Linked DNA regions of Diceros bicornis minor. The protein of the gene in region 1 interacts with the protein of each later gene in a pairwise test. Links are inferred from orthologs where the notes say so. Each region holds a gene or a part of one and is shown on either strand. Other genes may lie near its edges.

Region 1 (7,656 bases):
TTTACCTTAATTTTTGGATATTCCTATGCATAAAACCAGCTATTTAAGAATACTGAGCAAAGGACCTTACCATTTGTTACACACGAATTCACAGATTTTTCTTTTTTCTGCTTTACAAGCAAAAATTACATTTCCACAAAGTAAAATGAGTGTTGGGTCAGCTAACTTGAGCTAGTGGTTAGGGCATGATGCTATAATAAGGCTAAACTGACCATCTGATCACTGATCCCACCAATTAACTTTCATCTATTGCAGGGTCACAGGCAGCATCAAAACCCCTGCTGGTCAGTTCTTTGGTCACAAGGAGGGGCAGTCAAATGTGCAGCTGGGTCAGCACAAATCCACTATCACCATGTTCTATTTAGCAACTTACCACAAACAAATCATGTAAGAGCTGTTATCTGGGAAGAAAACACCAATAATATACCCACTGGATCCTAAAACAGGTGATAATCTAAGAGGCGAAAGTGTAAAATCTATTTTAGATGCTATACTGAAGAAATATTTTTAATTTTATTTATTTTTTCCCCCAAAGCCCCAGTAGATAGTTGTATGTCATAGCTGCACATCCTTCCAGTTGCTGTATGTGGGACGCGGCCTCAACATGGCCGGAGAAGCGTTGCATCGGTGTGCGCCCGGGATCCGAACCCGGGCCGCCAGCAGCAGAGCGCGAGCACTTAACCGCTAACCCACGGGGCCGGCCCTGAAGAAATATTTTTAAATCCGAATCTATTTCTACTAATCAAATTTATACTTTTAATTTTAAAATGCCACCACACTAAATTTTGAGTCCCACTGCTATGACAGACAATGATGGCAGTAACGTTCTTCTCAACTGGAAGAAATGTATTAAATATATAAAAAGATGACAAACGCTGATCCTTTTAACCTCTCAGCATTATTAATCCATGTACTTTCACCTTTACGTACAATCATAATCTAAGAGAACTATACCTTCAAATTACAATAAAAATTCTCTTCCAAAGAGAGACAAATCTGTTTCTCTTTTGGTAATAACTGCAACCCAACCACTCTTCCACCCTGAGTCTGTCTTCTGACCTATACTTCTTTCCCATACTATGCTGCAGGAGGCAATGGAATGACCACTTCAGTCCTACAGATTTGCTTCTCCTAGAGACTGAATTCCCTGGGGACAGCACAGCTTCCGCCAGGCTTTCTTCACACCTGTAGTCCATTACAGAGTATAAACTGACACACTATATGGTATCCATGTGCTCACAGATCAGCCTCTCCTACTAACTACAATATGAAATTCTGTACACACTAGGTGTGTATCATCAACTTTTGACACAGCGCCAGGCCACAGAAGACTTTCAAATACCTTTAGTGGAAAATTGAGCAACTGAACCTTTGAATCTTTCCTATCCCACTCAATATCAGCAAAGCACCCCACAAATATGGACAATTACATTTTTTGCAATAATCTTTGACACACGACACATTCTTTCTTTTCCTACTGGCCATACTTTCAACAGCCTCTTTGGAGGGAAAAGCCCTGTATTATGTCTTGTTCATTCTCCAATACAAATATTCCCTACAAGAGAATACAGAGTTCAGTATATGTCTAATCTAGTAAAATTTCACACAATACCATCTTTGATTAACCACGTGGTCCTTACAAAATTTATAAATCTACGAGAAATTTTAACACCTTTTTTTTTAAGCTTACACTGAGACTTCAGAATGCTTCCCAACACAGCTGATGTTAACAAAGATGCCTGGAAGACGGATGTGGGAGCAGGAAAAAAGACAACAGTGAAGAAACAACTTAACGTACTTCCACTGCCACCTTTATCCCGAGAGAATTTAAATGGGAAGGGAAAAAAATGGAGGTAGAACCTATGATTCACAATAAGCGATAAAGAAAACAAAAGATGCTGAATTTGCAAACTGTGCGTTTTAACCTACCCTTTCAAATAATTTTTGAAGAATTTTTTTAAGCCACAATCTTTTGCTCCATCCAGGCGCAGCTGGATCTCGTCTCACCCAACATCTCCCGCCTCCACACACACACACACACACACACACACACACACACCTACCACTATAAGTCCCTGTGCCAAACCAACCATCAAGGGAAAAATTAAACCCTGAGCATCATTTCCTAATTCTCTCTGAAAAATAGTGACAATTCTTTATTCTTTTTCCCACAGGAAAATTACCTATTCTAACGGGATGGGGGGGGACCCAGCCCATTATCATGCAGCTTCTCATTCTCCACAGGGAAAAAAAATGGCAATAACTTCCACTAGGAGACAACTGCTCTTCTACCGCATCCCCGGTTAGATCCTAAAAACAAACACGCAAAAACCGGTCTCTTGCGGCTTTCACACGAACAGAAAACGGAGGCACGCTACTTTGCAGCAACACAGCCCCTCAAAAGCCCTCCGGAGCTCGGGGGAGGGCGCCGTCCGCCCCGCGCCGCCGCCGTCGGCCGGGCAGGGTTCTGTCACCCGGAACGCCGCCCTCTGCCTGCCCCGCCGCCGAGCGGGGGCGGGACACAGCACTCCGCACCGAGGACCGAGGACCGATGCCGGCGGCTAAACGGGCGCCGAGGCCAGGCCGCTCCGAGCGCCGGATCCGCGCCCCTCCACAGCCCCCGTCCGCGCCTGCCCCCGGCCCGGCCCGCGTCCCCGCGTCCCCGCGTCCCCGCGCCCGCTGCCCCCGCGCCCGCGCACCGGCCGGGCGGCGTCGCACCTGGATGTAGTTGTTCTCGCAGTAGTCGGCCACCCGCTCCAGGTTCGTGTAACTGTCGAAGAGGGCCCGGCGGCCCCCGGGGATCTCCTCCTCCAGCAGCATCTGCAGCTCCGCCATCTTCACATCCTCCTCCTCCTCAGGCGGACCGCAGAGGGAGCGGCGGCGGCGCCAGGGAAACCCAAGGCCGGGAGAGGAGGGGGGGGGCGGCGGCGGCGGCGGCAACGCGGGAGGAGCGAGGAGCAGCCCCCGCGCGCGGCAGGGGAGGGGGCGGCGGGGCCGGGGGCGGGGCGCGAGCCGGCCGACTCGAGGACGGTCACCGCGGCGACGGCCGGCCTGGCGCGCGCACGCGCGCTCCCTCCCTCCGCCCCCGAGCGCCCGAAAAAGATTCCCACCCGCGCCGCCCGCCCCCCCCACTTCCGGCGTCTCCTAGCGACGGCGGGAGCGGGCCGGGAGGCGCGCCGTTAACCCTTCGGGCCCCGCGGTTGCGTGGCTCGCGAGGCCCCCGGCGGCCTTTGTTAGTCCGGCGCAGCGCGCCGCCCCCGCCGCTGCCGCCGCCCCGCGGTCAGCGGCCTGACGGATAATCTCGGGCCGCAGAGCTGCCATGCGGCTTGAAGTGCCGCCTCGCTTTCCGTTTTTCGCTTCATCCTTGACCTCCTCCATCCTCTGTGGTGCAGATAATCCCAGGGCTCCTCCCGTGTGTGCCCACTGAAGCCTCTGTTCTGTTCCTGTCCGCCGTCCCTGGACCTCAGCCTTGCGTGCCTGCCCAGCCGCGGTTCCCGTCCTCGCCCGCAGCCTTCCCGTCACTCCCCTGCCGCCGTCGACTTCGCTGTCTGTTGTCCTCGTGCATTCAGTGTTTCAAGTTTCGGAAACGGTTTTGCCGGTACTAATTTCCTTCTTCACAGGGCTGTTACATGGATAAAATAAAAGTTTATGTGAAAGCACCTGGAAAAACCTTCAATGCTACAGAAATTCAAGGTAGATCATTTCGATCTTGCGGAGTTATTATTCTGTTCTTACTCTCCGGATACTGTATCTTTTCGTCCTAAATCTGACTACTCCACACAATGTAATCTTAAAAACTAAAATGCCTGACAACTGCTGAGATATTATCAAGTCCGTGACCTTTACTTGTACTGCGGAAAGGCAAGGTTGACTACATTTGTAGTTGAGAACAAGATCCATTATTTCAACTCTTGTTCTTGCTTTTGTGATTTCTTGGCCTTCCTACAGGGATTTTTTCACCTCTTTTTTTTTTTTTTTTTTTCCTCCAGATGATGAGGAAACGATATTATAGTTTCTCAAAAAAAATCATTTTAATTTTCTGGAGCAATCTCTGATGTTATTATATTGGCTCTATGATATACACATTAGCAAATTGAGTTTTCACTGTGACACTCAAATTAAAGGATATTGAAGATGTTGGTCCAGTCCAACTAGTTTTATTCTTAACCACTTTAAATATCTTCTGTATTAGTGGTTCTCAGATTTAAGTGTGAGAAGCTTGTTAAAAATGAAAGCCGCGGGATCCCACTCTAGAGATTGATGAGAGAGTAGTGATGGAATGGGGTAGTTACTTAAGCGGCACATAAACCTGCTTCAGGGAATAAGACACGGATGAAAATCAAATGAATAAAACATACTAGACCAAGCAAACTTTTCTCTCAGATTAAATTTCAATGGATCAAAAGGCTACTGTTGAACTGTAAGCAACCCACCAGGTGTGTTAAATGGTAGACAGACTCTTCCCCCATTACACTTATCCCACCTAGCATTCTTTCAAATACTGCTTAGCATTAACCCAATAAACAAATCTCTCTGAGGGATCATTCCTCATTTTAGGAATCACTGCTTGAAGATTCTAGTACTTTCTCAAATTAATTTGTGACAACCTCTTTGGATCTTAGTTTCCTTATCTGAAAAATCAAAGGGTTAAGCTCAGGTCCGTTGTTCTGCAACTTCAGTGTGGACTGGAATCACCTGTAGGGCTTGTTAAAACGGGATTGCTAGACCCCCACCCCGAGAGTTTCTGATTCAGTTGGTCTGGCCCAATTTATATTTCTAATTTATATTTCTAACAAGTTCCGCGGTGATGCGGCTGAAACGGCCCTTCTGGCTTTGATGGTCTGTGATTCCAAGTTCTGGCAGCTGGGAATCTCCACCAAGAGAGCTTTTAACACTAAGCAGAATCTAAGGCTCCAAGGACATAGATATACACTTGTGCTGCCACCAACATAATTTAAGCAAAAAGGAAACAACTACAAGATCTATAAAAGTACCTATATCGTGTGTATATGTATTATCCGAGGGGTGGGATTGTAGGGGGGTTTTTTGTTCATCTTAATTTTTCTAAAATTAACATGGATTATTTTTCTGAGTCCAGTGAGACTATCTCCCAAAATCACAGAGAATACTTTTATTAATGCAGCCCAAGATAACATTTTTTTTAGCAATTTTATCATCAGCTTGATTCAAAGTAAGCATTAAAAACTCTTAGATTTTTTACATATTAACCCAGTCATGCCAAGTACAGTTGATTTTTTTTTTAAATCTAATTGCAGTTGTTTATATTTATTTCCAATATGTTATACCTTGGCTTTGTCTCAAATTTGAATCCTTGAAAATAAATAATCTTGCTTCACATCATCTACAGATGTGATAAGCAAGACTGTGGGGTTCACCATAGCCTTTAATAAGAATGCTGAACAAATCAAGGCCAAGAAGACAGCCTGATGGCTTGCACTAAACGCCTCAGTCATTCAGAGCCACTATCAATATACCTTAAATTTGGCCACCTGTGAATGTACCTTAAAGAACTCACCCTTATCCAATATTCCATCATCATAGTGACACGACTCGTGAGAAAGTGTCAAATTCTTCTGCTGAAATAAAGATGCACTATGTCTGTGGAATTCCCCTGATGTATATCATCCTAGTAACTCGATCCTTAAATGAGGAAATTAAGGTAAGGAACATAATACAATGCCTGATAGTATGGGCTCAAAAGAAATAAACGTTGCTCAACTGAACTGTTTACATAGCTCTTCTTACAACATCTAGAAGACATACCCATTCACTCCAGACATTCTCCTCAGATTTTTCCTGCACACCATTGACATGCTAATTGACTATAATCATTGTTTTCATCACTAACTCTTTGTCCCAAAATTTTCAGTCTCTCTTTTAAATGACATCAACCTACCAGCTTTAGTATCAACCTTATTAACAGTGTCAATTAGTATTTAATATTACTGTATTTTCTCATTCATTTTTAAATTTATTAGAGAACAAATAGCATCTATGGCACCTAAATAATGATTCCAGCTGTTTCATATCCATACAAATTTATTCTTTTTCCTGGTTTTACATTAAATGCTTGGAAACTATTAAATAAGAATGTCTTTCTTCTTAATGAAGATATTTTGGACTGTTTTCGTTTTTCACCTTGAGAATTTTAAAACTAGTTTTCTGGCTGCTATTGCTTTATCAGGCAATACCAAATTGGGTATATATGTATATATATTGTATATTACAATATATATTTCTTTTTTTTTTTTTTTTTGGTGAGGAAGATCAGCCCTGAGCTAACATCTATGCCAACCCTCCTCTTTTTGCTGAGGAAGACCGGCCCTGAGCTAACATCTATTGCCAATCCTCCTCCTTTTTTTTTTTCCCTGTTTCTCCCCAAAGCCCCAGCACACAGTTTTATGTCATAGTTGCACATCCTGTAGTTTCTGTATGTGGGACGCGGCCTCAGCGTGGCCGGAGAAGCAGTGCGTCGGTGCGCACCCAGGGTTCCGAACCCTGGGCCGCCAGTAGTGGAGCGCATGCACTTAACCATTAAGCCACGGGGCTGGCCCAACAATATATATTTCAATGAATGAATATAGATGAATACATATATTTCAATGAATTTTAAAAGAATTCCTTTTTGTGCAATTAAATTTCTGTTAGAGATTTTACAGGAGAAATGCAAGCAGAGTTTTTATTCAAACAATGACATGGTTAACTGAGTTCTCCTTCTCGCCCCAAACAAGAAAAATAATTATCAGTGATTAATATTTTCACAGCCAGCCCTGGTGGTCTAGTGGTTAAGATTCAGAGCTTGCTGAGGCCCGGGTTCGTTTCCAGGTGGGGAAACCATATCACCCATCTGTCGGTTGTCAGGCCGTGGCAGCTGCATGTTGCTGTGATGCTGAAAGCTACACCATTGGTATTTCAGATCCCAGCAGGGTCACCCAGAGTGGAGAGGTTTCAGTGGAGCTTCCAGACTAAGACAGACTAGGATGAAGGACCTGGCCACCTACTTCTGAAAAAATTGGCCATGAAAACCCTGTGAATAGCAGTAGAGCACTGGCTAGTACAGCGCTGGAAGGTGAGAGGATGGCGCAGAAAGACTGGGCAGGGCTCTGCACTGCTGTCCACGGGGTCACTAGGAGTCCGAATCCACTTGACAGCACTAAGAACAAAACATTTTCATAGTATTTATGTACATTTCTGGGTTTTAATCAGATTTAAGACTATCAGGAAATTTTCATACCAAGTGCATATAATTTGAATGTATTTTTGAAACGAATTTTCTGTATGTGATCAAAAGATAAATGGCTGGAATCTAAGCTTTACATTTTTAGGCAAGTGTTATCATCTGAAATGTTGGTTTCAGTTTTAGTGATATAAACTTGGGTCTCAATTTTAGGGATATGGATATAATGGTTAAAAATGTACCAAACTATTTGGGGAAAAAAAGGCTTACTGTACAGTAGAGCATTCTGTGCTTTACAGCTGTATGAACGTACATTTTAAGAAATAAGTTAAAAATTCCTGGAAAGAATACACATCCATCAAAATTAGTTTGTAAAAAAAAAACAAAACCCTCATTTTCAGAAAGTCAATAGCTATATAGCCCACAATTCTCATACATTTTTTTCTTTTTTATTGAAA
Region 2 (6,924 bases), on another chromosome or scaffold:
ACCCAGCAAATCTACTTTTCATTCACTGCAGCAATGTCTGGAATGGCAAACAGCTTAAATGGCCATTAATGAGGAGAGGATTAAATAAACTACAGTACAGTACATACTGCATAAGAGATTGTGTGGGAGTCAAGAAGAACCAGGTAGATAGATCCCTATGTTCCACCATGGAAAGATCTCAGACATTCTGTTACAAAAAAAGTTGTAGAACAATGTGTATGGTGTCATGTCATTAATGTGGGGGGTGGGAGGAAACCCTGTTTTCTGTATTACCTATATATAGATGAAAACGCATAGAGAAAGGGCTGGGAATATCACAACAAAGTGATAACCACAGTTTCAGGGGGGAGAAGGGAGTAGGCCGAGGGGGCTTTTATACTGTCTGTACTGTTGGAGTATTTTATAAGAAAGTGTGCACTCACGAGCCATGTGCCGAGCTGCAGTACACAGCCACACAGACTATGCACCACACAATCCCAGGAGCTGCCATTCGCAGGGACTCTGCTGTGAATGGCACCCTTACAGCTGGGCAGTACACATCCTGCACAACTAGACGCCACAGCCCTGATGCTTGTCTAACTAGAAATAAACAAAATGAGGGAGGGGGGACTGAAAACCAGCATGAGGGAACTTTCTGGGGTGATGTAAATTTCTACATCCTGATTGAGATAATGGTTACACAGTACATACATTTTTCAAAACTCATCCAACTGTACACGGGACATCTGTACATTTTATGATATGTAAACTATACATCAATAAAGTTGATAAATTCAACACACAAATAAATAAAAAACAATATCCTTGGGAGAATCTTGAACAAGGCACCCAAAATTACAGGATCTAGGCACCCCAAAACAAGAACTGGTAGACACCTGCTGGTTGCACTCTGAAGTACACAGTCCTAAAACTAATGAGAAATTAACTTAGTTCTCCAAGGCTTACTACACAATGCCAAATTTGGATTAATATTACCTTTATTTTTTACATGAGGAAACAAAGGCCTTGAGAGATTTCTATTAGACATAAAATAAATGGTAACTTGGCATTCTATTGGTTCTAATTTTCCAGCTCAGTAGAAATTTTGTCTCTCACACATAGGGGACACTCAAAAACCTTGCCAGCACTACTCTGACTACATAACCCCCTTCAAAGGTAATTCCACTGATGTATGATAAAAATCCTCACAGAACTCATAAAAGGTCAAGTTTTAATTTGGCAGACAAAGTAACCCAACAGGCAGTGCAAGCCAGGGCACTGAAACAGCAGCCTGGAGCTGTCGAGTCCCAAAATCCAACCAAGGCAGAGAAGTGGTAGATTCCAGCCCTCACAGAAGAGCAGACACACATTCTCTTACTACAGACCTAAGATCCAAGAACCACAATAAAAATGAAAAAAAAAAGTTCTCTAGACAAAACTACCCTTCTTCCTCAGTGGCAGAAAAGAGAAGGGCCAGAATGGGATGACTGGCGATGAAGGGCCCAAGGAGTAAGCTCCTGACAGCCCACAGGCAATAAATATGTGAAAGCAGCAGCGCGGCCACAAGGAATCATGACTCCCTTACCTTAGCCATTGCTTTAAATGCCAGCACCTAAGAACGTGGGTTACCTTACACCACCAAAAATAAAAAAGAGAGAACTTCAGGCACAGGGGAAGTCCATCAGCCATCTCTAACACCAGAGTTATTAATACTCTGTAAATACAGAGTAAACCTTGCTCTGTAAAATACAGCAAAACCTTGCTTAATTCATTCATTCATGCAATAAATATTTATTGCCTGACTGCTGTGGGCCAGGCACTGTACTTGTCACTGAGGATTTAGCTGTGAATAGCCATGGAGCTTAATTCTAGCTGAGAAGGGAATTTTTCTCTTTCTAAATTTCTTTTTCCCTTCTCCCCCTTTAAATGTTACACAGAACAGCCTTCAAAACTGTCCCAAATTTCTCCCGCAAGCTTCTTTGACTCTCTTGCTTTATCCCCAAACCAAGCAATTTATGGCCCCAATTTCCCAGCACCGGGAAAAGATGAACGAGACCTAAAGTGAATAAGGTACGAGACAAAATTCAATGCTGCTTTGTATTTTATACGCATACCTTCACAACCAAAACGTCAGCACCTAAAGAGCAAATTATGGCGTGTTCTACACTATTTTATGGCCCCAGTGCTGACCACGATTCTCCACCCACCGTAGCTAATCAATAAATTTACTAAGAATGCTGGAAGGTCTTCCTAATCGCAAGAAGGCCTGGCACAGGAATTTAACAGCAAGCATTCGTCAGCTGCATCCTCTGTCCTCTCAGGCCACTTTCCTTCCAAGGGTGACCTCGGTGCACAGGTTCACTGTTAGGCGCCTCGGGAAAGAGTGTTTTGGGGTGATCTGAAATAAATTCCCTTCCTCTGCCAGGGCCTGCCTGCCTCACCTGCCCTCTGCCAGGACCTGCCTCCTTCAGCACCTAACGCAGAGCCTCCTCCCAGCGAGCCCGGCTCCAGCAGCATCAGCCCGGTGCCCGCACCTCGGCTCCGCGCGCCGCAGCCACAGCTCGCCCGGGACCCCAGAGACCCCTCCCCGGCCCGGGGCTCGGAGCCCGGCGGCGCCGGCCCGGGACTCCGCTCCATCCCCTCCGCTCGCCCCTCCAGGGCCGGGCGCGCGGCGCCGTCTCCCCTCGCAGCGCGCGCGGTGCAGTGGCCCCGGCTCCCCGCGCGCCGTTCCCGCCGCTCTCGGCCCCGCACCCCCGCAGGCTCCCGAGGTCCGGCCGCTGCGCTGGCTCCTTCCCGCTCCTCGCGGGCGCGAGGCTCCAGCACCGCGCTCCTCTCCCGCAGCCCGCGGCCGCTACCGCGGACCCCCCACCTTACTCACTTCCCGGCCGGAGCTGGGGGCGTCCAGAAGGTCTCCAGCGGCCGCAGCCTCCTCCGCCTATTCCGGCCCGGACCCCACAGCTGAGGCGACGGCAGCGCCCGCTCAGGCCCCGGAGCCGCCCCCGCGGCGAACGTTCCCAGGCGCCCGGCACGCGCAGCGAGCCCGCCCCCGGCGCGAGGGCGCGAGGGCGCGAGGGCGCGAGGGCGCAGGGTGGGGGGCGGGGGGCGGGCGCGCGCCGCCAGCACGAGCGCGCGGCTGGGGGCGGGGCTTCCGCCGCGCCGAGGAGGGGGCGGGCAAGCGGGCCGAGTTCCCTTCGAGCCCCGCCCCTGCGGCCGGGCGGGACCCGCCCCCCCGTCTCGCCCGCGGGTTCCGGGTCGGCGCGGGAAACGTGCCTCCTGGGGGTTTTCCTGCACGCTGGCGGCGGGCGGCGGAGGTGCGTTTCAGATCCACAGGTATTTGCTCGGCCAGCTGGGTGCTCGGCCCGACGTGAGTACAAGGTAAAGAATGCAAAGAACCAACCATATGAATCATTCATCTTCGCCTCGAGCACGAGATCCTGCCCTGAGTGTTTTTTCCAAATTAATTCAACTCAGCAAGTGTTTACTGAGCACCGACTGAGCGCCTCGCGGTGTACCAGGTGCTGTGTGGCTGCACAGTCACGGTCACGGTCCTTGGTCTCGAGGAGCGCATAACTTAGTGGAAAGGCAGCCATGTAAACAACCAGGTCTGGTGACCCGTGCAAAGCCAAGCCACAGGAAGATGCTGTGGGAGCGCAGAGGAGGAAGCGATTACTTCCGCTTGGACGATGCGGAGGGGTTCTTGGAAGAGGTGGCATTTGGATTCAGCCTCAAGGAAAAAAAAGAAAGTCCTAGGAGAAAAAAGGGAAGGCATCAAAATAGCTTGGACAAAGGACAGAGGGTGACCAAGGTTTACCATCTCAGCATCAGTTTTTTTTGTTTTAATATTATCCATTTTTTTAAGTTTTTAATTAATTTTTTTATTGCGGTAACATTTGTTTATAACATTGTATAAATTTCAGGTGTACATCCTTATATTTCTATTTTTGCATAGATTACATCATGTTCACCACCCAAATACTAATTACAATCCATCACCCCACACACGTGCCTAATCACCCCATTAACCCTCCTCCCTCCCCTCCTCCCCTCTGGTAACCACCAATCCAATCTCTGCCTCTGTGTGTTTGTTGTTGTTTTTATCTTCTACTTATGAGTGAGATCATATGGTATTTGACCTTGTCCCTCTGACTTATTTCACTTAGCATAATACCCTCAATGTCCATCCGTGTTATCACAAATGGCTGGATAGAATCCTTTCCAAACTGTGTGAAACATAGAAGATGATGCCAAATTAGGAAGAGCTACTTTTTTTTTTAATGGCTCAAAGAATCATTTTTCTCAACATTATTTAAGGCTCAAACCAGCAGTGTCCTTTAAGAACTATTGGTTGTGAATGAAGGATGTAAGTTCCTAAGCTAAGTGACCCCAAACCAGTATGCTTTGTGCCTGATTTTTTAGTGCTTTTTGGCACCTTATGGTAAGGCAGACCGTGCCACCTCCTGCTGCTGCCTGCCTGCCTGCCTTTAGAACATCCTCTTCCTTCTCCTCTCATCTTCCTATTTTTAAAAAATAACTCCTATGGTGAAGGAAATGCTGGTAACCAACTTTAAGTGAGACTAAATAGGTTCCTCAAAAAAAGATAACCTTTCACACATGAATTTTGTGACTATTTTGCATCCTTAAAAGACTTTTTCACTGGTATACAGGGTCTTGACTATGTCTGAATATGTTAAGATACTCAGAATATAGGTGAGACATCTTGTTTATTCCTTTACCACTCATTGAGCACCAACTGTGTGGGAGGCACTGAGAGGGTAAAACATTGATCTTGTCCTTTGGAGAAAAGATGTGAAAATAGTGTAAAATAAATATGTAAATATTGCTTGCTATATTTGCCCTATTGATTGAAACCAAGGTAATTTCAATATGTGAGCTAGATTCTCATAAACCATTCTGGGAACTAACTAAGCACACTTCTATTAGCATCTCTCCATCTTGGTTCTGGATTTCATCACCTTTCGCATCTTCAGAAAACTTCTTTCAAACGTATTTCAATCATTCTCCCCCTCTCACTCCCAAAATTACCAACCCCTCTTACCCATTGTCCTTTGCCTTCACCATCTATTCATGTTCAAGCTTTTCCTGTCCTAAAGAAAAAGGAAGAAACCCCTCTGTCACTCTAGATTCTGCACTAGTTACTATGCCCTGTCTGTATTTTCCTTTACGAATGCCTTGAAAGTAGCCTACTCACTTCTACCTCTTGAGCAGCTTCTCACTCCTCAACTCATGACTGTGTAGCATCTGTCCCCACCACATCACTGCACTGCTCTCAGTCATTAATGGCTTGCTTAACCCTAAGTGCCACAGGCCATTTGTGAGTCCTCATGTTACTAGAGCTCTTGGTCGCATGTGACAACACAGAGCACTCTACTCTTTCTGAAGCTCCATTGGCCTTCACGACATGATGCATCTCCTAACCCCTCTGACCACTCCTCAGTCTCCAGGGTTCTGTTCTCAACTTTCATTTCACCCCACACATTCTCCCTGAACCGTTTCATCCACTCCCTGTCTTCGTCTGCCACATTTATCAGCAATCCCAAATGTGCTATCTAGCTCAGACCACCCATCTGAGTTCCATATACTCAAAAGCCTACCAGATGTCTCACCTGGATGTCCTAGAGACACCTCAAGCTCTACGTGTCTGAAACTCTTTAGCATTACTGTCCATTTGGTTGCCAGAATCCCAGGGGTCATCCTTGATTCTTTCCTCCCCATCCCCACTACACTCAACAATCCTGTTGATTCTCCTCATAAATAACTCTAGAATCTGTCGCTCTTAGCCCCTCTCACATAGACCAAAGCAATAGCCTTTTATCTTGTCTCCCTCTTGTAGTCTTGTTCCTTCCAATCCGTATTCCATCCTGCACGTCAGAAAAACTTTCAAAGCTTTGCTGCCCAGGATGTCACTGCTCAGCATGGCAAACAAGACTTTCCATTTATCTAGACCTTGCCTATCTTTTCACTTCATCTCTTGTCGCTTCCTACACACACCCCATCCAAACCCCTAGAATGTTCCTACTTTCTCTTGGCTCCGTACCTTTATGCTGTTTCTCTCTCTGTTTGGAATGTCATTTGATTGAATACAAGCAAAGAATGTCCAACATATGTGTAGCTGAAGTTCCACGTATAATGAAACTATAATCCAAGAAACTTTCTGGAAATAAGAAAATGTAAACCTACATAATGAAAAGGCCCACATGTACTTGAGGAAATGACCACAGAATGATCAATTCTGAAAGCTAACATCTTAAAACTATTACACAAAAATAATAATAATAACCTTCAAGACCTCAATGCAAAAAGTTCAAATCGTTTAAAAGGGTAAGAAAATTAGGTTGTAGTACATTAAAGATGGCTGCAAATTCTTTATCACTTCTTTTGATCCAGACTGGCCTAAATGAATTGCTTGACCAATAGAATTTGTGATGTTATGGGACTTCCAAGCCTAGGTCATAAGAAGTCTTGAAGAGTCCACCTGCGTCTTTAGGAACACTTGCTCTTGCTCGCTCTTGAAGCCCTGAGCCACCGTATATAATATCTAACTCCCTGTGGAGAGGTTCTGAGACTACATGGAGAGGAAGAGAGGCCTAGCTGATCCTAGCTGATGTGAGTGAAGTCATCATGAATGCTCTATATCAGTCCAGCCATCAGCTGAATACCACTGAGTGGCCCCAGCTGAAGCCACGTGGAACAGAAGAATCGCCCAGCCACACCCTACCCAAATTCCTGACCCCAGAGATTGTTATTATTAAAATGGTTCTTACTTTAAGCCATTCCTTTTCAGGGTAGGTAGTTTGTTATGGAGTCCGGTAACCAAAATATTTGGCGTCAGATTTCTCAGGAGCAACATACAAAGCAAGGCAATAGTGATGCAGTGTTTTGACATTTTCTAAAAACTCAAGGAAAGAAGATGCAAGCTAAGTATTT
Region 3 (7,294 bases), on another chromosome or scaffold:
CGAGACGAAAAAGAACTATGAGCGCAGGGCTGGGCGGTCCGAAGATCTGGTGACCCATGTTCGCAGAGCAGAGCCCTGGCAGAATGCCAGGCTCCCGGCTCGGAGTCGGAGTCGTGGTCTCTGCCTTCCTTGCGGGAGGAAGATGACTTGGAGGAGGAGGCTCCTGGGGGCAGTCTCACTGGGAGGGGGCTGTGGTCCAAAGAACCCGGCGGAGGCTAATCCAGATATGTGGGCGGGCTCCACAGAGGAACTGGAGATGGACCAGTGTAGAGTCGAAGGGGCAGCAGCCAGATGCCCTCTTCTCCAGGCTGCTTGGCACAGAGCTGGGCACACAACCAACCCCAAGGACCAGCGGCCCGACGGGCAAGGAGGGAGAGAGACAGGCTCCACCTGCCCACCAAGCTGCTGGAGAGGTGAGACGGCGTAGGGCATCGAAGGTTGGTTCCACGGCTGAGGGGAAAGACTTTTAAGGAGATCAGCTAAGTCTGAGGGGCAAGAATCTGTGGCTTTCAGGAAGGGAAGTTGGGGAGGCAGCCAGGAAGATATCAGGAAGAAAGAGGAAGGGCGTGTGCAAGATCCTGAAGAGGAAAAGGCAGCTGAATTTAGCAGCGGGAGGGCTGTGAAGGTCAAAAGTATCAAGGACTCTCAAATAAGCCCAAGGCTGGAGACTCTACCCACCTAGGTCATGGGGTGGGGTGACGGAGTGGGGAGCATAACAGTGGAGCTGGCTCAGAACCTGGCTGTGCCACTTACTAGATGTGTGACCCTAGGAGAATTATGTGGTCTCTCTGTGCCTCACTATCTCCATCTGTAAAATGGGGAGAAATCCACCTTATAGGGTTGGGGTAAAGATTAGACAATGCATATATAAAGTGTTCAGAACAATAACGGCATGTATAAAGAACTCAAAAATTTTATTTTTCAGTGACCTCCCTCCAGTGGTGGGTGAATGCAGGGGGGGCAGGTGAGGGGGAGGGGCATCTGCCTCTCTGGGTTTAGCCCCAGGTGGTAGAGCTGCAGCCCCCTCCCCCCAGACCAGGGATATTGCAATGACTGAGGGACAGACTTGACAACCGCCCAGAGACCACTGCTGGGGAGGGCTGTCTCCCTGGGAGAGCCGGCAGAAGGTCAGGGAGGTTGGACAAGGGTTGGGACCTCCCCTGCCCACAGTCACACATCCTGGGTTTTCCAGGGCAACCCAGATTTCAAAGCCTCTGCTCCCTGGTGCCGGTGAGGACAGCAGAACTCATCACCCTATGTCCCTGAAGTCCGGTCACTGCAAATACAGGGCCCCACTCTGAGACTGCATTCTTTGCAAATGCAGGCTCTCCCTGGCCAAGGAGAGGGCTACTTTATCAAGGGCGTGCGGAATGCGCCGCAGGGGCAAAGATAGGTGTTCACCCAGGCTCAAGCGGAGGGACAGCCAGGGAAGGTGAAAGTCCAGGGGTGGCCACCACCTCCAACCTTAAGAAAGATGTGTTCGGGGTAGGGAAGACTGCAAATGCTACTTGAGAATTTAAATGCAGCTTCCTCTTTAAAATCTCCCAGAACCAGGCCCTTCACTGCGCCAGAGTTCTGCTCTAACTCACAACAGGGGGCTAAAGGAGCTGGATTCCGGCTCGCCCTCGCTGCTGGGACCCCCCAGGCTGCCGATGTCAATGGCTCAATTCCCCAGTGCCCACGAAGGCAGCGGCCCAGGCCCTCCTTCCCAACCTCGGGACTGGCCCGCCCCACCCCCGGCCCTGCGAGGGGGAAAGCGAACTGCCCAGGGGACGTACGTGGTGGGAGGGCCCGAAACTGCAGCCTTCGAGGGCGCCCTGCGGGTGCGGCGACCTCTGCCCGGGGAGGGGGCGGCGCTGACTGGCACGCGGTTCCCCGGGAGGGTCTGGCTCTCCTGGGCCAATGAAATTGCAAAGGGGGTCCCGAGGCTGCTCCGATCCCAGGGGACGTGCCGCCCCCATGCCCTGCTCCGGGCAAGGTCCTCTGGGCCGGGCCCTCCTCGCGCCCCGCAGAGGGTCTGGGCAGGGGGGTCCCGCGGGCAGGGCGGGCCCGCACGCGGCGCCCGAACGCCGGGCCGGGCGGACCGCGAGCGCCCAGCCCACCTCCAGCCCGCCCGGGCCCCCGACTCACCGGCCTGGCGGAGGCAGGATCCCGGCGTCGCCGCAGCGCCCGGGGCTCGGCCCGGCCCGGCCCGCCGGCGGGAGGCAGCTCCACGCCGCCGCCTCCTCGGCCCGCCCCGCTCCCGCCCCGCTCCCGCCCCTCCCGCACACTTTCCACAGGAAATGATTAACTCGGGCCGCGGCGCGTTCCCATGGCAACCGGCTCCGACCCCGGCGGGGGGCGGCGCGCGCGCTCCGGCACAGGCTCCCGCGCGCACTCACGCTCGCTCCCGCGCGGGGCGCCCGCTCCGCCGCCTTCCTGGTCCCCCCAGACCTTCCCCCTGGGCTCCGCGCTCCCCGCGTCCCGCCCGCGCTAGTGCACACGTGAGCGCTCACCTGCTGGTGCACGCACATCGGCGTACGTCCTCATGGCCCTTACACTAGCACACATATGTTCGCGCACAGGCTCTAGTTAGTACACACGAACGCATTCACAGTTCTCACACGCATCCCACACCAGTTCATATGTACATGCTTTTGCACTTACACTCTAATACATCCTCAGATGCTAGTGCAAAACTTTCACACTCTGGTTAGTACTCACACACACTTCTCACATGTGCTCCCTTGCCATCCTTGACACACTCACAAATTCTAGTACACGTGTTTTCTTCACATTCTAGCAACATTTTCACACATGCTCTTAGACACTAGATAATACGTGTGTACACTTTCACATGTTCTCATACACTTTACACATGCACTCACATCATACCACACTCATACTTTCACACAAATACTTCCCCATGCTCACACACATGTTCCCTCACATGCTCTAGGACACATTCGGTCACATTGCAGTATACACATTCTTTTAAATCCTAGTACACACTTTCACACGTGCTCTTACACACTCTAGTTACACACACGTACTTTTACACATTATCACACACATGCTCCCACTAGCTCTGGTAGGAATACATAGGCCGTGCTGCCTCCCCAGCCACAGCTCCACCCACAACCCCCACCTCCCCCACCAGGCAAATTTACATCTTCCAGAGCAGGCAAGCTACTTGGGATTTTTTTAAGGTAAAATATTCCTTTTAGCTCCCATGAAAACACATTCTGAGTGCAGCAGCTCCGGGAGCAGGCAGCGGCTCCCGGTGTAGCCCCGGAAGGCCCTCCTTGTAGGATGCCTTGGAAGAGGCCTCGGGGAGGCAGAGAGCCAGCCAGCCAAGGAGAGGCAGCTGACCCAGAGGAGCTACTCTGTTCTTTGTCTCCCAAACAGAGGTGGCATTTACTCCAGAGTCTGCAGCAATGTTCCCCCTCCAGGCTGTGGAAGGAGGAGAAAGAATGAAGCTTGGAGGCCAGCCCAGTGCAGGCTGATGGTTCCGCAGACAATCTGAGGAGGGTGGGCACGCTGCCCCTTCCTGATTGTCAGGGGATGGCCCAGGAGGAGCAAGGAGGGCACTGGAGGGGGCGTGCAGCTCCAGGAGGGTTCTCCCCTGCAGCTGCCCAGGCGCTGGGCTGGCGGTCAAGCATCTCAACGGGAGACAGAGCCAAGGTCCTGGGCCCAGATTGTTCTGGATGCCAGACCTGGACACTCGCAATCCCCCTACAGGAAGTGAGCTAGTGTGTGTTTTATTTTCTAACTGAGATGCTGAGTGAAGGCCCAGTAGAGGATAGATGTCACTCTCCTGGGATGGGTCCATTGAGAGTTAGAGATTTCCAGCTAAGAACCCTGGGTAACCCCGTCAATGGGAGAGAAGGCCATAATTTGAGAGTTACCTTCTCTGAGTCCCCCTGCCTGCCTCTCCAGACAGCAGTGGCCAGGGAACGGTAAGGATGGATGAGGGTGAAACTCCTCTAGAGGCCTGACCAAGTACCTCCCTTTATTATAGTCTTTGACTGGAGGGGGGGTAGCGTCTGCCTTCACAGTGCTGGTGTAACCCCTGTCTTACTCGCTGGCTGGTACATTGACACTAACTGCAGGCTCCTTCTGCCAAAGCCAGAGCCAGATTTTTAAATTAATAATAACATTTATTGTTCTTTTTCTCCGATTACAAAAGTAATAGATGTTCATTGTAACCATCATCCCACCCACTAGAGATAAATGCTGCCAACATTTCAGTACAGTCTTTTTTTTTTCTATGCACATAATAGCTACCATTTATTCTAAGCTAATACGGTGCCAGCCGCTGTGCTAAGCTCTTTAGAAACAAGATCCCATTTAACCCTGAACGCCCTATGAGGGGGGCACCATCATATCCCCAGTTTTTCAGGAGAGGAAACTGAGCCTCTGAAAGTTCATTCACAAATCTGGTGTGTGATAAAGCTGAGACTGGAACCCAATAGGTGTCTGTGTGTACGTAGATACACATACATACAGTATTCTCAGATGTATACAGCTGCAAGAGTTTATTAAGATCAAAGCGCCAGTGAAAGAAAAAGAAAATTGAGGGGCTGGCCTGGTGGCGCAAGCAGTTAAGTGCGCGCGCTCTGCTGTGGCAGCCCGGGGTTCGCCGGTTTGGATCCCGGGCGCACACGGACACACTGCTTGGCAAGCCATGCTGTGGCGGTGTCCCATATAAAGTGGAGGGAGATAGGCACAGATGTTAGCCCAGGGCCAATCTTCCTCAGCGAAAAAAGAGGAGGATTGGCAGATGTTAGCACAGGGCTGATCTCCTCACAGAAAAAAAAGAAAATTGAGGTGTTAGGAGGAGGAATTTTCGGAATTCTAGCAAAACTCTGACGAAATGGGAAAACAAATTGCTTCATGACTGTTGGAATTTAGTTTAAGAATGCACAATGTCACCAGGAAGTGCATACCAATGACTTCAAGGTCATTTTTATCCCAGGAACTTCGCTGACTGTTTCATGTGGAGGCTGCCAACTCTCCCCTGGCCACAGGGAAGGTGGAGGATTTGCCAGAAACCTGGCCATCCCACGCTGGGGTCCTGAACCCATGAGTGAGGACTCCTGGGTTCAGCCTTTGGTCTTGACCTCCTGCCCACCTTCTGGGGGAGGCAGAGCTGTCTCAGGGAGGGCCAGACAAAGCAGTGACCGGAACACTGCAGATCCGTATCCACATCCACTCGGTCCCCCAGGCGGGGGGTGGCAGCGCCATCTTTGTGTTCTAAGAGCCTGAAGCCCCTTAACTCTCAGGCATCCATCAGAAAGATAGCCACAGTCCAGGCCAAAGGAGTTCCACCCAGAAGGAAACCAAAAGAGAGGAATAACAAGCCAGATTGTGTTGAATCTGATTCTCATAGTAACCCAGAGTAAAGCACACGTAAGATGTACACGATTTTCCGGTTTTAACGATTTCACTTGAGATTCGCTCGCCTCCAGGCCTCCGCAATGCTGTTTTTCCTGCCCAGAAGTCCTCCACTTCGCCCCGCTCCCACCTGCCTCCACCCTCCTTTACCTGGCCGACTCCTCCTCCAAGTCCTTCAAGCTTAGAGGTCACCTTCCTTGACCCCCGCAGAGACCACAGTCCCCCTACTGCTCATCCCCCTGCAGCACCCCCCACACTGGATTGTAATCACCCCTCCTGTCTACACCATCAGCTCCTTGAGGGCAGGGCCCTTTCCTGACTTGATCACAGGGAAAGCCTCTGCAGTGCCTGGCGTCATGTAAGTTTTTATTGAATAAATAAATAGATCACGTATAATTCAGACAGGAAGAACAGGGTGCATGAAGCATATCCGAGCAGACCTTCTTCCCGTATAAATTCATGATCGTTCTTATCGGAAGTCAGAGAAGAATCCTTAAGGAATTATTTCAGTGTCGTCTGTAAGGAGCACCCTGCAGCTGTGACAAGTGTATATCCTTGCACGAGTCTGGGTAATAAACAGTTGAAGTTAGAAAACTTGAAGTTAGAGAACACCATTCTGGAGTTGAGTCACATATTAAGTAATCCTGACTCAATTAGCTGCTGTTTTGAATCCTCATCTTCAGATACCCCTGAAACAGTCTGTCCTGGACAGCGCAGAAAGAGCCAGGGAGCAGCCCGAGGAGGGGCTGGGGAGGGCTCTGCAGCCGGCCCTGCAAACAGGAGTGTGACTCCTCTCCAGCTGTACCCGACCTCTGGGTGTACCAGGCGGGCTGCCTCTTGGCTCACACCTGCCAGCTCTCAGGAAGCCATGCTCCCAAGTGGACATGAAGGGGTGGGGTCCTGGATGACCCTTGGCTGGACCGTACCTTCTGGTCGCTCTTGTCTGCTACAGACTGGGCTCCTACGGGCATTAGGTGCTCAATAGATTTGAACAAATGGTACCTTTCTCCCCTCTCTCCCTTTCCAGCTCCCTCTGTGCCCTCCCCATCCCTGCCCAAGGCACCTTCTTGCCAGAAGCTGTATTACCAGGGGAACAGTTCTCCCATTTCTAAAGGTCTCTGCAGGGAACCAAGGCCACCCTCCCCCCAATAAAACCACCTTGCTTTCAAATCCCTGGACAGTGACTCCCTTTCTGCATTTGCCAGGGAGGTTGGACCTAGCAGCACTTCCTGGCTCTCAGGGGAGGGGAACCTAAAACCTCTTTCTGACCTGAGGAACAATTTGGCAGAGATAGCCCCCTCTGAGCTCTCCAGGGTGGAAAGCAAACAGAGGGGTTTTTTTCCCCCTCTTTATCATTTCCTGTAGTCTAAAAAATGAGAGGAATGCAAACACTAAGGAGATGTGTACTTAAGCACCAGGTAATAAAAAGATTTAGCAAGAACGGCCGGGGAAGATAAGGCCCGCCCCCTCCCCGCCTCCCTCTGAGTCAGCTCTCCCGCCTGGGCTCCTTGGCCCAAAAGCTCCTGGCTTCCCTCCTTGCTCCTAAATCATTCCAGCTCCTTCTTCTAAGCCAAGGCATGCATTATTAACATCAATCCTGCTTCTTTTCAACTTCCCCATTCATTTTCCCCATCTGCTGCAAATTCTAGGTGGCTGTTTTTTTTTTTAACTTCAATTTTTTTTTTCCTGCATAAATGTAGGAGAAACCAAGAGAAGAAAAAGTCCCTAAATCCCGCCACCCTTAACTTATTGTCACTGGCTCGGACTTTCTTGTTGGTACTTGACCTTGAACAGATGTTATTACTATATTAAGGGGAGACAGTATAGAGCAATGGTTAACACTGGGATTAGAGGTCAGGGGGTCCTGGGTTTGAACCCTGGTTCAGTCACTTCCTCCATGCCTCAGTTTCCTCCTGTG
Region 4 (7,857 bases), on another chromosome or scaffold:
GCTGATCAAAGAACTGGAAATGAAGCCACACTCCTTTACAGCATCATTTCCACCCAGAACTCAACGGAATCTTAAAATCTAACCTGGGTTCGTATCCCTCTTTCACTATCTCTCCAGCCACCCCTTCCAAGCTCCCTGACATCTAAATGCTGGAGTGGCCCAGGGCGCATCTCTTGGATCTTTCTTTTGGCACATAGACCCAATCCTAGCCCATCTCTCATCGGACGCCCCAGTCCTCTCTCCACAATTCCAGTCACAAATATCCAGATCACAATCAACATCTCCATGTCGATGCCTGATAAACCTCCCAATACTAACACATCCAAAAGATTTTCTGCACTCCACCCACTTCCAAACCATAAATACCCTCTTATCTACTCCTCTCAAATGCCTTCCCATTTAAGTACATAAATGGCAACTCCACTCTTCCGGCTACATAGACCAAAATTTCTGAAGTCATCTTTGCCTCCTCTGTTTCTCTTATATCCCCTATCCAATCCCTCGGCAATTCTTTTGGCTTTACCTTCAACGTCCATCTAGCATCTGACATCTTATCACCCCCTGCTCCACTGCCCCCCGGGCCAAGCTGTGCCATTTCTTGCCTGTTTTACTGTGGAAGTATTACCCTTTATGGGACAACTCAGACCTGCCAGCAGCTCCCTACCTTCCTTGAAATAAAAGCTCAAGTCCTTACCATAGTGTCACAGGCCATACATGACCTGGCCTGGGATTACCTCTTAACCTCTTTTCTTCCCATCTGTCTCCCATATTTTTGCTGTTCTTTGAACACATCCTTGCTATTCCCTCCCTCACTTCTTCTGGGTATTGGGTGAGGCTCTCCCTGTTAATCCTATCTATAGTTTCACCCCGTGCGCTCCCTATTCAATTTCCAGGCCTTATTTTTCCCCACAGCCTGATTTCTATCTAATAGGGCTGCTAGATAAAATACAAGATGCCCAGTTAAATTTGAATTTCAGATAAATAACAATTTTTTTAGCATAAGTATGTCCCAAATATGGCATGGGATATACTTATCCTAAAAATTATTTGTTGTTTATCTGAAATTCCAATTTAACTGGGCATCCTATATTTCTATTTGCTAAATCTGGCGACCCTGACATCTAACAGGCTATATAGTTTACTTATTTGTTCACTGTCTATCTCTACCACGCCCTCCCCCTCAAACTTGGCCCTTAGAATGTAAGTTCAATGAAGGCAAGTATTTTTAGTCAACTTTGTCCACTGCTGGATTTCCAGTAGCTAAAAGAGTGACTACCACATAACAGATGGTCAATATTCATTGAATGAATGAAGACATGAATAAAGTGATCACACTCCCTCAGTCTGACCATCTCCAGCCTCTGAAGCGTCTTTGAATTGCTGTGGTTGTTTGAAAGTTATTTCTTAAGTTGGTCCCATTCTAATAGCCCCTGATGTTCTGAGTCATTTCTTTCAGCAGAGGCCCAGAGGTTGAACTCCTGCTGTAGGATTCAGTCCTATCAAACTGGGGAGGGAGGAGGGGGGAGCTTATCTCCTGCTGGACCCCACTGACCAGGCCCCTCCAGGAGAGGGCTCTGCTTTGGAAGCACAGATACCCAGACCAATGACTAGAAGACTCAGGGATTCTCCAGGGTTTACTAAGCTTCAAGTTGCCTGCATTTCCCTGGGGCTTTCTCTCTCTTGTAATTGCATTTTCTTCTGTCTGGCTTAGTTTTACATTTTCAGTGGGGATGAGTCATTTGTTACTTCCCTTTTGCCTTTTTACAAAACACACACCTTTTCCCCTGTGCATAATCCCTACTCCCACGCAGCGCACTGCAGCCCCACAAGCATGTCTTCTAGTTACTAACTGGCCCCTGGATGAACCTGCGGTAGGGTGGGCGGGGGTGGTTCTGGATTGTGCGGTTTATGAACATGCTGCCTATATGATACTATGGGAGAAATTCGGGCACCACAGGCTTCAGACACTGGAGAGCAGAGAAGTCCTTTCTCCACCCAACCCCACTGCGAAATCTCTTTGGAACAACATAAGCTTCTGGAAATTCCCTACGGAAAAGACAAGTCTATTGTAAATACAATTAAAGGGAAACCGCCTGGAGAAAATTTACCAAAATTGTCTCACAACTCCCAACTTTTGAATTAAAGCACACAGAAGATTCACAGAGTTCCATCTATCGTCCAGATGTACAAATGCGCCCCCGCTGTTCTGATCTGTAAAATCAAACACCTCTTAGCTCTGTGATTTAACTCTAAAATGCCACAAAACTTGCATCCAATATGCATTTGCCTCATGGAATCCCCCAACCAATGAATGGAAATGCTGCCGTCCCAAACAGAGCTTCACAGAAGCAGCTCTTTGCTCCCACGACGGGAGCAATGAGTATGAAAAGCCGCTTTTTGCGATATATTTGGCATTGCCTAGAGATACCGCACATCCTGACTGCTTACTGTGCGACAAATGTGACATCACCACGCCACTTCTTTTGCTGCTTAAGAAAATCCTGCCAGAGATAAGGCCAAACCCGAGAAATCGCAGCTCTCCACTCAGTTTTGAAAACACACCACCCCAAGAAATCATGCTTTTTCTTCGCCAGGCGCCCTGTCTCCAGCTATAAAAAGCAGCCCGCGGCGAGGGACACGCGGAACTGTAACTCCATCTTTGAATGAGTCTGTTACTTACCCTGCATCTGTCTGCTGTCTGCTGAGTAAGGGAGGCACGGCTCACATTTCTGGCTTTCATTTTCTTCCATTGTCCCTGCCTACGGCACAAGCTCCTGGCTGCTCTTTAAACTCCAGAGCGCAGTTCTGAAAGCTCCCAGAAAGCGCCTGGAAGGGGGCCCAGAGGGTGGGGAGGAGGGGACGGTGCGAAACCCCACCCCAAACTATTCTCCACTCCGGTGCAAAGTTTCGCTCGCCCGAGAAAATCGCATTCCAGCGCCGGGCCTCCCCGGCCCTCTGTGCTGCGCCCCGCGTCCGCGCGTCCGCCCGCCGGACTGGTCTGGGAGGAGTGGGGGCTGTGCTCCGAGCCCCCGCCGCCGCCCCTGCCCGGCCGGCCCCGCGCCGCGCGCTCCCGGAGGCCCCAACAGGTGATGGGCTTCCCTCCCCGGACCCAGGCTGCCTGCCGCCACCGCCGCGACCCGCCGGGACTCCGCGGCCAGGCGAGGAAGACATGTCACACAAGGTCACCCGCATGAACCTTTGCTGGAAGCCCGTTCTCTGGACTCTAATCTCAGACACAGAACGACCCTCCCCAGTAGGCTGATATCCATAGTAATAAACAACTGCCGAACGTCCCAAATTTCAGTGAAACCCCTTAAAAAAATTTAGAAAGAGTATAAGCTGAATGTTAAGCAAACACTTTCTGACACTGTTTGGAGCCTGATTAACAGACACAAAGAGGCTGTTTACTTTTGACACTATTTCGATCACTTAAGCTGGACTTTAAAAAGAGTTTGTACTCATTTGCCTACACTTCAACTCCTCCCCTTTCCCCAACACACACACACACACACACACACACACACACACACACACACACACACAACTTGATCATAGATCTGAAAAGTAAACTTAGTAAAATCGACCTTGTGAATCTCTCAAGTTAATTACTTTAAAATCTCTGAAAAGCAGTTAAAATGGTTTGCTTCGGATGGGGAGAGTTACATGCAACCTACTTATTCTCCTTTTAAACTACCTACAGATATTTATTTTGTTCTTCACCCAGTCCTTGAAAAACTGGCAAATTTCCCAGAAAGTGAGAAAAGGAGCCACAAAAAAAGGATGGGAAAATAATCTGAGCTCTGCTATTTCAGCTATCTGAAAGTAACACAATCACTGGTAGGAAGAGTGTGATATTTTAATCTGTAGTGGACCCATCATTTGAGGAGAAAAAAAGGACAATGATTTGCCTGCTGACCATACCTTGACCCAGTTTACCAGCCATTCAGGCCAAAGTTTAGATTAATTTAGATGAAGAATGTGCGCAGAACAATGCCTGGCCTATCCTCCAGATTCTGACCTTGGGTCACATGTGTGTTCTGGCAGCGTGGGAGACATATTGGCCATTTAGGACAAAGGATATAAACCAAAGGGAAAGTAGACATGCCAGGGAGTGAGCTTCTTGTGGGGAAGGGAAGAAGAGACTCCTCAGCTCCTAACAGGATTTTTCTTGAAATCCAAAAAGATGTGGAATCTCCCAGAAAGTTAAAGCCCATACCTGGCAACATGAATACAGGCAGTTGGGTTGAGAGGGCGGATAACTCAAGGTCTCCACGACTTGGCAACAGAATTATTTGGTAATCTTGCTTTAAGGAGGAACTAATTGTACACAGTTTCTGTACTGGTGGCCTGCAGGGAAATGCCAAATGAATCTTGTCTTAACCTTACTATTTCCTCAGGTACCAAATGTTCGTGAAGGACGGAATCTGTGTTCAGGCCCCCAGGTCCAGATTATCCTGGTCCTTGTACAGCTCTTGACTATTTGTCTTCAAATTACTAATGCCTAAAAGGATGGTGGTGGTAGTGGGCAGAAGTGGTGCAGGAGAGAGAGAGAGAGAGAAAGAGGGAGCTCACAAGGCAAGCACAACATTACAGCACCAGAGCGTCAGCCTAAACCAGATGTCCCTGGGGCCTGGGACTCTGGCACTCACCTGACTCGCTTTGGTGTGTGACGAGCTGCTCCTAGCAGCTCTTACCTGTCACTTGACACAGTACAGAGGCAAACTCCCCAGGATGAAGGAGCCCACAGCACACCTACAAGGGCACCAACCAATAGCACCCTGCCCTGCCCAGGGCCTTCCTCACTAGCTCAATCCAGGCAGAAAAGATCCATTTTTAGATGCAGATTACGCTTCCTGGGGCTGTTTGGAAAGCGTGAGAGCAGCTCTTCAGGGCCCTGTTGATCCCCAGATAGGCAAAATAGGGGCAGCTCTCCCACCAGTTTCGAACTCTGGTTAGTTTCCAGGCAGCCCAAGGAACCCCCTCCACCCGACTATGTGTTCACGCTGCTCGGACCCTCTCCTCCCCCATGGGCAAAGCAGACTGCAGCCTCCTCTGTGGATATTCCTCCAGGCAAAACTCTTTGTGGAATGCACAAAAGAAAAAGGCATCACCAGTGAAGAAAATTAACATAAATCATTAAGGATCATGAAATCTCGACATACATTTACGGTAATAAAACATGTTCTCTTGAATAGTTAAACTTTCTGACCATTCTATGGGGAAAAGTTTCTATTGGACTAGTTACTGGCCCTTTGTTCCTTCTCCTTGAGAAGGGGAACGGAAAACAATTTGAGAAGGCACTGTGTTAATGCCCTTGCGCTGACTCAACATCTCTCCCCAGAGCACACAGATCTTACTAAGAACTTTTTGCTGATTGTCAGTTTCTCTGAGAGGGGTCTCTGGAAAACGGTCACTGTATTCTGCAATCTGCATAAACTCAGTAACTCAGATCTTCATGAAAAATACTATCATTGTCATTGCTGTTACTGTGGAGATGTTCTTTCTGGAAGAAACGCTATTTGAACTAGAAGTACACCATGGTTTTTGGTTTAATTTAATTTGGGGGTTTAAAAATTGCTATTACAAACCAATCTGCCTACTGCCATACTTTGAAATTTGCTGTGAAAGGCATCAGGGAAGCGGGAAGAATTCGAAATGTAATTTTCCTCCAGTCATACAGAGAGCTACAATAATGATACCAGGGGGCTAAACTTTCAACTCCATTTCTGTTAACCAGGGAAGGTGCAAGACTATTCCTTGGTTAATGGCTCCATATGTTGGCAATTCATGACTCAAAACGAGCTAACACACAAAAAAGCGTCATTTAAAAGGAAAGACAAGTGATGAGATAAAAGAGAGCTGATTTTTGCAGTCAGCGCTAACCTGTTACAGAACTGGGTCGTTATTAGTTTTGATAACGCAACTTAAATGGGCGTCCGCCACGATGGCCATTAATCTGGAGAATCATAAACTATTGCGTACGACTTCTCAGCAGGCCTATTTAATTACAGGGCTGTGGAGAGCATGTCAACTTCCTTTATGTAAGTTTTTAAAGAGAAATCATTTCCAGAAGCAAGCAATAAGTGGTATGGCCCTGATATATGTTTCAATTTTCTTTTTTTGCTTTAAATCCTATTAGGAACAAGAGAGCTTAAAATGACTTGACATCAGGACACAAAAGAAATAATTACTGCTTGCTGAAGTCATAAAATGTAATTTTCAAAGGCATTGGCAACTGTGAAAATAAAACAAAACAGAATAAAATGAAAAACAACAGAAAAATGTTTCTACCGGAGACCTCATGTTTGATGTGTTACACATCGCCTTTTCTAAGGGACACGCTGCTGTGTGTCACTCTGTAACTCAGAAATAAAGGACTTTTGGGCTGGCTCCGTGGCTTAACAGTTAAGTGCTCTCGCTCCGCTACTGGCGGCCAGGCTTTGGATCCGGGCGCGCACCGACGCACCGCTTCTCCGGCCATGCTGAGGCCGCGTCCCACATACAGCAACTAGAAGGATGTGCAACTATGACATACAACTATCTACTGGGGCTTTGGGGGAAAAAAAGGGGGAGGACTGGCAATAGATGTTAGCTCAGAGTCGGTCTTCCTCAGCAAAAAGAGGAGGATTAGCATGGATGTTAGCTCAGGGCTGATCTTCCTCACACACACACACACACACACAAACACACACACACACACACACACACACAAAAGGAATAAAGGACGTTTGACAGCTGGGAAAACATGTACTTCAATGGATGATCTGGTGAATGAAATGTGGGATCTTCAATCCTTGTTTTGCCAGCAATGTGTCAGCTGGCTAGTGTGGACTTATACTTAAATATAAACCAGAGCATTTGTGATAGAGAAAGGGGACACTATTAATAATTACACGAGATGCAGAAACGATGACTGTTCCTGGCAAACCAGCACAGATGGTCACCTCTGTGTAGTCCAAGATAAACTCACGTGCACCTCAGGTTTCCAAATGCAAAATAATGCTATTGGAGTTTCCCGACAGACCTCGTAAGAGAAATTTAAGCATGAATTAAAGGTGGGAACCTCATTAGAGCAGCATTACAAGCCCCACCAACAATTTCACATCGGAAACACAAACTCCACAATATGATATTCTGTATGATTCATCCTTCAAAACAGAATTTTCCTTTCTGTGTGACCAGAAAGGAACCATTTACATATATGTGACCAGGTCACCATTTACATCTCCAGCATTCTCTACAGAGGGTAACCAATCTTCCTGATCTTACCTGCAGTCCTTAAAATCCCAGCTGCTCCAAGAGATCCTACCAGCCAAGAAGTGAGGTGGCCAAGAGCCCCCTCCACTGAAGTCTTTCTGCTCCCAAGTCTTGGAACTTTCCTCCCCTCCCCCATACAAATTCCTCATGTGGTTATAAATATAAACTACACTTCCATCCAATGTGTTAATACTTTAAGCATATTTGCTTTCATTTCAAGAGACTCCATTGATGTTGACTTTTATCGGGGTTTCTTTTATCTCTTTCAAGTTGGAAGATGCTGGAGAGCAAAGACCATGTCTGCAAAACCCTGGAGCTGGAGCTGCCATGTGTGCAGCACATCGTGGAGAAGCCATGCTCGGCTCTGCTTCCCAGTCACCGCAGAACGAGTCTGGATTCCAGGTGGCAACTTCTAAGTGAAAACTGCAACTTGCAGATGCTCACCCCTTTTATGCCAGAGTGAGCTAAACCCTGACGTGTTCTGCAGAGTTCCTAAAGGCCAGGGTGGGATCCAGGAGAATGTGAGAACTTCCACAGATACAAGCGCCCATTTGCTTCCTCAGTTTACCCAGCAGTGCTATTATGAATCCTTTCAATAGA

What was found.
Region 2: the proteins of ABI2 (region 1) and DTNB interact in binary tests that used the Homo sapiens proteins (3 or more experiments, as listed by UniProt). The link is inferred for Diceros bicornis minor from reciprocal best matches to the Homo sapiens genes ABI2 and DTNB.
Region 3: the proteins of ABI2 (region 1) and KIFC3 interact in binary tests that used the Homo sapiens proteins (3 or more experiments, as listed by UniProt). The link is inferred for Diceros bicornis minor from reciprocal best matches to the Homo sapiens genes ABI2 and KIFC3.
Region 4: the proteins of ABI2 (region 1) and KIAA1217 interact in binary tests that used the Homo sapiens proteins (3 or more experiments, as listed by UniProt). The link is inferred for Diceros bicornis minor from reciprocal best matches to the Homo sapiens genes ABI2 and KIAA1217.

What each region holds. Positions count from the first base shown.
Region 1 is NC_080749.1:80,842,674-80,850,329, reverse strand, and holds the start of ABI2 (abl interactor 2), read right to left. Parts: upstream 3,013-7,656; 5' UTR 2,836-3,012; coding exon 2,719-2,835; intron 1-2,718. UniProt on the Homo sapiens protein: Regulator of actin cytoskeleton dynamics underlying cell motility and adhesion. Functions as a component of the WAVE complex, which activates actin nucleating machinery Arp2/3 to drive lamellipodia formation.
Region 2 is NC_080751.1:56,957,294-56,964,217, reverse strand, and holds the start of DTNB (dystrobrevin beta), read right to left. Parts: upstream 3,007-6,924; 5' UTR 2,858-3,006; intron 1-2,857.
Region 3 is NC_080771.1:11,205,514-11,212,807, forward strand, and holds the start of KIFC3 (kinesin-like protein KIFC3), read right to left. Parts: upstream 3,005-7,294; 5' UTR 2,514-3,004; coding exon 2,496-2,513; intron 2,199-2,495; exon of another isoform or gene 2,131-2,198; intron 1-2,130. UniProt on the Homo sapiens protein: Minus-end microtubule-dependent motor protein. Involved in apically targeted transport. Required for zonula adherens maintenance.
Region 4 is NC_080775.1:23,534,652-23,542,508, reverse strand, and holds the start of KIAA1217 (sickle tail protein homolog), read right to left. Parts: upstream 3,021-7,857; 5' UTR 2,751-3,020; coding exon 2,681-2,750; intron 1-2,680. UniProt on the Homo sapiens protein: Required for normal development of intervertebral disks.